Bombyx mori: one gene and its partner. The protein of the gene in region 2 purifies or fractionates together with the protein of the main gene of each other region. This does not show direct contact. Links are inferred from orthologs where the notes say so. Each region holds a gene or a part of one and is shown on either strand. Other genes may lie near its edges.

Region 1 (4,213 bases), on a different chromosome or scaffold from region 2:
TTTAATTATTTTCTGATTGTCATGGATACCGGTGTATCCACTAACATTCTTGTTACCAAAGTTTTTTTTTCTAAGTCTCGAAGCAATGAATGAAATTTCCATTAAAATGCCACCAAATATAATGTGCTTGCTATCTGAAAATTACTAGACATAACACAAAACTGAAATAAATGGTTCTGTGCTTGAATTCGAATGCATTATCTATTCATTTGCTATTATAATTTGATATCTGTACGCTTAGTGCCAGTTTTTTACCGTTCTCGATAGCATAAAGGTTAACTCAAATCTGTATGGAGTTGAAACGCTTGCCTACGTTTGCCGCTAGGGGCGCTGTTCCAACAGTATACAAAACTGAGATCGGAGGTAAGAATGTGATCGTACGGCCCGGCCCCTGTAGGTGAAGGTCACGGGGCAACGAAGATGGGTGGACGAGCTCACAGCCCACCTGGTGTTAAGTGGTTACTGGAGCCCAAAGACATCTACAACGTAAATGAGCCACGCACCTTGAGATATAAGTTCTAAGGTCTCAAGTATGATTACAACGGCTGCCCTACCTTTCAAACCGAAACGCTTTACTGCTTCACGCCAGAAATAGGCAGGGTGATAGTACCTTCCCGCGCGGACTCACAAGAGGTCCTACTACCAATAAATAATTGTCTGATTGAAGTATTCATTGACTGCGGTAGCCCCTATACTTCACCCGGATCTGACCTCAGGGGGCATCAGGCAATTGGGCGAGAGTTTAGGGAAGTTGTAAAGTGGATAGGCCCCTAAATTCTATACCTTGGGCCCGCAGTCCAATGCGGTCCTAGATACCCCGCACACCCTCTAGGCGCGGGGACCTCATAGGGGCTCAGCCCCGGCTCACAAAAAAAATTATCGCATAATCTGTATAACTCTGAACAAAACTATCACATGTCAGGATTTTTCGACGGGAATGCGAGGAGCGAAGTTGTGTGAATTGTTTTAATTTGTCAATATAGTCCTTCTTTAGGTTTGAATTGTAAAAACAATGATTTGTTATCTACTTAGTATCTGTGAAAATGCACAAATGTAAGAAAATGAAACAAAACCGCTGGGCAAGATCTTCCAAAAATCCAGTGAAATTTTGTAATAAATAAGCAAAATTTTACTGAGTCTATATTTTATCTCGTGTAATTTCGTCTCGCCGTAATCGATCAGTGTCTCATATTTCATTCATTTTGCATTTTTTTTATTATTCAACAAAATACACAAAATATTGGCCTGTATAGTTTGATACATTTGCCTTTTCAGTTGGAATTGAAACTGTCAAGTGTCGCTTTGCCTTCAAATGTCAACTCAAAATGTAGTCAATAAAAACATGATAAAAACATAAATTTGTATCAATGATAAAGTTGTATCTATGATAAATTCATTTATGTGTTGAAAGAAAAACAGTCAACAAATAACAATTATTAAATACATCTGTTAAAAAGGCTGCTTAACAAAAATGAGAGAAACTAAAATGAGCAGCCACCTTGCGGGTGGACGACTGAATGTTGCTTTACTTCAAGAAACAATGAGAACAGAATTATTAAATTTATTACAACAGTACAGTGGCCCTAAAGTAAGTTTATAAACATACTATGATGTTTCACAACTTACCATTTATTTATTATCCGAAGTTACAATAGCTCTAAATCTATATTTAACTTACTGTAACAGGTGTAAAAAATTATTTGTTTATAAATGCTACTGGCCACTGACTTATTCGAAATTAATATTGTTCAAATTTAAAAACGCCTCCGATAGAAGAAATCAACTCGTACTGAAGAATAAATTGTTGTTTTTACTTGTCATGTTTGAACGTTACCTTCAGTTCCACTCTGTTAAGTATTTTTTTAGAAACTGGTTAAGTTACTATTGGCTTTTGACACGTCTGAGAGCTTACTCATAGAGAGAGTAAAATTTATATTATTGATTCTTAATTTTAAAAGCCGACTTAACTTAATAAGTGTATGGCTCTAATAAATAATTTAAAAAAATCTTAATTTTCAGGTAACAATTTGGGATGACTGGCTAGCTGGGCCTGTAGGCCTTGTTGCTCAGTACTCATTCCTTAAAGACCATGAAGTCAACAATATGTTTCTTCTGAAACCAGGAAGCCTACCCAATATAACCGTCAAACATATTATATTTATTAGTAGACCCAAACTTTCATTGATGGATTTGGTTGCTGATTACATTTTATCAATAAGGTACTGAATTTGTGTAGTTATTTTTTGTTTTGTAAGTGATGATTAGAGTATAAATTGTTAACATTGTATGTTAATGAATATCAATATTAATTAATTTCTCGCTATCATATTTGCCGAGCGTGCTTTATAATTCATTTACTTATTTTCCTGTTACAAAATTTTAGATAGTATCTGGATTGAGCCTGTTGTGTGAAAATATAACAATTAAGGTGCAATTTAAAATAGTACAGTTTTACAAGGATCAAAGTTTCTAAAGTTATTAATCGAGTACTTATTCATATTAAGTAAAGTTACAAAAAAGCATAGGTAAATAAATCTAGTATAGATTGATATAGTCCAGTGATATATACCAGGCCGGGGCAAATGGCGGCGGTAGAATTTTGTCTGACCCGTGAAGCTTTATATATATTATTATTAAAAACACAAATATTATTTATTTCTATTTCTGCCGTGAAGCAGTAATGCGTTTCGGTTTGGAGGGTAGGGCAGCCGTTGTGACTATACTGAGACCTTAGAACTTATATCTCAAGGTATGTGGCGCATTAACCACTGTGTCCAGTAACCACTTAACACCAGGTCGGCTGTGAGCTCGTCCACACATATAAGCAATTAGTTTTTAAGTAAAATTTGAAAAAAAAAACTGTTTGGCCCGCGGTCAAATTTTCATCTGCAATGTGACCTTACTATCAAAATATTTGCCCACCCCTGGTCTATACCAACAATAACAGAAACCAACTAAAATTTAAATTCGAATATATTACTCAATATACAGGGCCAAGCAAACAGCTCCAGTAGAATTTCACTTGTTCTTTGTGCCACGCAAAAGTGAACTGTGCAAAGTACATCTCACCAATAGAGGAGTGGTCAGTAACATGACAATTGAAGAGTTTAAGTGTGACATCATTCCATTCGAAAGTGATGTCATGTCTTTAGAACTACAAAATGACTTCCGGTCAGTATATTTGCTATATTATGTTAATTTTAAAATCTTTAAAGATGGAAGTAAATTTTTCAATATCCTTTTGATGATATAGTTACGTCCCAAATGATAAAGTGACGGGTTTACTCATAGTAAGTAATGTTACTATATCAGTGCTCACTGTGGAAATCATTTGTGAACATTTATTAAATACATACTTGGAGGAGGCCTTTACCCGAGGGGGGGTTCATGGAAGTAGCAATAATACCTAGTATTATTCAACAAACATAATTGTTAGTTAATTAATCACATAGATCCATTGATTTAATTTTGATTTTATAAGTCACTTGCATGAAATAAAAGACTTTTTTTATTTGTTAATTTTTTATATATATTTATTATTAAGTACATATTCATTAGAAAAATAATGCCTGTAGAATTCAGTCACATTGCTCGATACGAATGCACCTGTTGCCTTATCCTTTAGGCTGCGATAAGATTAAAGTTACAGTTAGTTATAAATGCTTCTATAACATGATTGTACAAGTTAACTTTTTTTTAAGTAATTATTGTACAACATTGTTTAAATTTCTGCAATGAAAAGTTTGAAGTGGCTTAAATACAAAACTAATGCATGTTGATGTGTAACATTGAAATAATTTGCAGAGAAAATTACATAGAAGGTGACACAAGTTGCATATACAATGCTGCACAGGCACTAAGAACCATCCAACAGTTTTATGGAATTGTGCCTCGTGTATTCGGGAAAGGCCAAGCAGCTAAACAGGTACGTTTCTTGACTGACAACATTTAACTGAGACAGAAACAATGTCTTTTAATTGTGATATTTGCAAAGTTATACTTTAAATGTTTTGGATAGTCACATCAGTGTTGTGTGATTTCTGAGTTTGATATTTATAATTAATTTTTTAAATCGATAAATAAATTACCTTTGCTACTATTAAGTTTGTAAATAATTCAATACAAGAAGCACAAATTTCATGAACATATACACATTTACACACACGATTTAAGTGGATATATTGTAAAAGCAGAATATTATTATTATTTTTCC
Region 2 (4,095 bases):
AACTGCTTTTTTTTAATTAAGACAAAAAAAATTTTTTGGAGCTTGTGGCCTGGTATAGCCTCGTTACCTTTAGGCCAAATTATGACAATTCTGGTGATGCTATTATTGCCAATGTCTATAAAAAATTTAAATGTTAAGTTTATAAAAATCTTCAATTAAAAAATAGATACATATTCTGATAAATGGAAAATGAAATGATGAAAAAATGAATTAAATTTGCTTTATTTGAAACTGTAATTAATTGGGATGAAATTAATTAACACGAAAAGAGAAGAGATGAAATAAAAACTCAGTAAAATAGTGGTTATAAGACTATTTTATCTGATCAATGAGAATTCAGTGGACCTTTTGGAAGAACGTGAGACAACGTCCAGCAAGTTACCATTATTATCGTTTATGCTTACAGAAACATTTTTAAATAATACAATTCACACAACCTCGCACCTTACGTATCGCTAAAAAGCTAATTAGATTCGAACCAAATAATATTGACGGATCTTATATATTCTGTTGATAGCGGTAAATACACATTTCATACTTTTCTAATACATATATAAATATATAAGTTAGACAACCAAATGATTTTTTAAATCTTGATAGGCTCGCTATGAGCGATGCTAGGTGAATTGTTTTATTTGTTTATTTAGTGTTCCTCTAAGGTTAAATGAATTACAATAGCGACTTAAAAACCATTTAGCATTTACGAAAATACATGCAATATATGTGCTGTAAGAGGTAATTTCCGGTTCTTCCATGAATTGATGTACTCATGTTATATTATTATCTACTTCATATAATTATGGAGCTGAATGATGCTACCATTGTGAACTTCTTTGGATTGGATTTTTCTGCTGGGTCTAATCCACTTAAAAGGATTAATTAAAGTCTAGTCTAAGTCTTTTGATTTTGTTATTTAATATTTGATTACGATGGTGGAACGGAACGGTGGTTTAATAGCTGTTTAGGATCTGTAAAAATGCACAAAAATGCGGGAAAATAAAAAAAAAACACTGAAATAAAAAAAAGACGAAGCATGTACTAAAAAGTCCACTAACATAATCTCAGTAAAGAAACTCCCATTTTACTACGACTATAATTCATCCCATCTGAATTCGATTTCTGTAATTTCATCCCAATCCATTACAGTATTAAATAAATCAATTTCACATCATTTCACCTATATTCTTTTTTTTTCATAACATTTTTAGATAACAGAATATATGTCATGTATAAAAGATTACAGTGTATGGTAATCGCCTTAACCTTCGCCAAACCTGATGGAAAATGGGACTTCTACTATAAGCTATCGTTTCACAAACCGTGCAAGCCACAATAAAAAAAAAACTTGTTTTGTCAAATTCAGTTAAATGTCAAAATCAGAAAGACAATAATCAAATTCAGAAAAGTGCAGAACAGAACAAACGAAAGAAGAATTACGTTTTTATTATTAAAATGTGATTTTTTTAAACGGTTGAAATTCAAAACAATGGCTGTTAATATTGAGAGCTGCGAAAGCTTGCCTCCCGATGAGGAGCCGAAGCTAAAATACGATAGAATGGAAAATGATTTATTGAATATTTTACTGAAAGACGCTGTCAGTTGTATTTGTGTTCACACCAAATTCATCTGTATCGGAACACGTTGGGGTGTGATACACCTGCTAGATCACGAAGGTAACATAGTTGCTATATCCCAGGACGGGAAGACTGAATTCCAGGCTCATACTATCGCTGTCAACCAAATATCTGTAGACCAAAATGGGGATTACATAGCGAGTTGTTCAGACGATGGTAAAGTTGTCGTATATGGATTGTACAGTAATGATAACACGCACAACCTAAATTTAGGCAGGGCAGTGAAATCAGTTGCATTGGATCCTTGCTACTTCAAGTCAGGTTCAGGAAGAAGATTTCTTACAGGTAAAAAACGTTGTACTTAGTATGAATAGAATATTTAGGAAATCCTTTAAACCTCATAACCAAGTCTTATGTAAAAAACTAGTACATAAATAGTCAATAAAATATATAAATGTCGAATTTAAAATGAATTTATTCTGTAGTAATAATTAAATAATTGAGAACGAATTACACACATCTGGCCCCAGATAAGGATGTCCTGAATTATGAATGTTAATTGTAAATGAATTATGAATGTGGCTGCCCCACCCTTCAAACTGAAATGCATTACCGCTTCACGGCAGAAATAGGCAGGGTGGTGGTACCTACCCATGCGGACTCACAAGAGGTCCCACCACCAGTAAAAAAGACAAATCTGAAATTATTCAAAATGAATCTATTGAAAATGAATGAATCTATAAAAATATTCTGTAAATATATGGTAGGTATACAATATCACTGTTTAAAATGAAACTATAGTTAGATAAAAAAACACAACTACATTTATGCCAGGTCATTACACATTAACCATATAACTTGTGTATAAATCCACCTACTCTGCCTAGTAAATTTTTATTGACTTGAATACATTGACTTTTTGCATTAAAAGTGTACAATTTCCAAAAATATTCGAAATTGAGTTAATATGCTTAAATATTTGGTATCACCAGTATTTTTCTCATAAATACTGTCAAAAGAGTGTAGTTTAGTTTTAGTTTTTTTTAGTTTACCTATGATTTTACTACTATTAATAAAATCAATACATAATTTTATCTTACTTTATAAGACAGATAATGTAACTGATAATAAAAAAAAAAATGTTGCAAAGATGATTAATATTAAAAATATTACATGTTAAACCTTTAAAACACTCTCCTATAAAATTAGTTAGTTTTGAAATTATACAGTTTTAATGCGAGAAGAGGACATGTGTTCAAAAGATTATAAAACTTGAAGCATACATGTGATTCTAGAGCTGATCATACATGGCTTGAACGTACAACTTCACTTCATTAAACAATATAAATATAAACAACATTCAGATCATAATTCAAATCGTTTTATTTTTTCGCAACTTTGCTTGTAAATTATGAAAAGGCAAACTCGGGCAGAAATTTTGTGGATGTTCCCTTCCCTTTCCCTAAACTCACCCATAGTACGTAACTTATGCTTCCCTTAATCGTTTTGTCCTTTCTCTGCTTATGATGCATTCGTGATTTCCAGTGTTAAAGGAAGGAACTTCCATATTACGATGCCATTAAGACTATTAACTCATGTCTTGAGGTACGACGATAGTGACATCGTGACATAGTTTCCAGTAAACACTAAATTACCAAGTGAGTTATGAGTTTGTTTGCTCATCCAAAATTATAACATGTGTATTCTTCCAGGTGATCACAGATTGACACTATATGAAAAATCATTCCTTAATCGAATACGAACTACAGTATTACATGAATGCAAGGGAAACGTACAAGCCATGTCCTGGCAAGACAGGTTTGTAGCATGGGCAAGTGAAGTTGGGGTCCGTGTTTATGACCTAGTTGCTAAATGCTCTCTAGGTCTCATCCAATGGGAAAAGAACCTAAATAGATCTATTGAAGACTACCGCTGCAATCTTCTCTGGTCTGCTCCTAAGACTCTAATGATCGGCTGGGTTGATACCATCAGGATATGTGTCATTAGAAAGCGAAGTCAAATTGAATTACAGACTCGTGATGTCACAGAATACCTCGTGGATCCAATATATACCTACCAAATAGATTATTTTATAGGAGGTCTGGGCCCTTTGGACGATCTATTAGTTTTATTAGCCGTTCCAAAAGAATGCGATCCTAAAACCGGAAAGTCGCAAATGCCCGTTTTAATAGTGGCGAATTATAAAGGCTGCGAATTCTGCGAGATATCTTGGGAGACTTTAGACATAAGGGGCTACCAAGAATATAACTGTAATGATTACCATTTAGATATGCTTATAGAAGAAAACAGATTTTTTATTGTTTCCCCCAAAGACATTATCATAGCGAGCCCTTACGACATTGACGATAGAGTCACTTGGTTGACCCAACATAGAAGGTTCGAAAAAGCTATTGCCGTGTTGGAAGAGGTCGGTGGTAAAACTTCTAAGCACTCCGTGATGACGGTGGGCGTACAGTATTTAGATCACTTGCTCTCTGAACATCTTTATCAAGAGGCTGCC

What was found. The genes of interacting proteins can lie anywhere in the genome.
Region 1: the proteins of vacuolar protein sorting-associated protein 41 homolog (region 2) and vacuolar protein sorting-associated protein 33A purify together in Homo sapiens (affinity purification with mass spectrometry; 5 studies listed by BioGRID and IntAct, counting the BioPlex papers as one, with this or other methods). This does not show direct contact. The link is inferred for Bombyx mori from reciprocal best matches to the Homo sapiens genes VPS41 and VPS33A.

Annotation. Positions count from the first base shown.
Region 1 is NC_085122.1:6,404,543-6,408,755, forward strand, and holds the start of vacuolar protein sorting-associated protein 33A, read left to right. Parts: upstream 1-1,291; 5' UTR 1,292-1,471; coding exon 1,472-1,588; intron 1,589-2,019; coding exon 2,020-2,219; intron 2,220-2,991; coding exon 2,992-3,171; intron 3,172-3,804; coding exon 3,805-3,925; intron 3,926-4,213.
Region 2 is NC_085123.1:777,609-781,703, forward strand, and holds the start of vacuolar protein sorting-associated protein 41 homolog, read left to right. Parts: upstream 1-1,261; 5' UTR 1,262-1,486; coding exon 1,487-1,919; intron 1,920-3,286; coding exon 3,287-4,095. UniProt on the Homo sapiens protein: Plays a role in vesicle-mediated protein trafficking to lysosomal compartments including the endocytic membrane transport and autophagic pathways. Acts as a component of the HOPS endosomal tethering complex.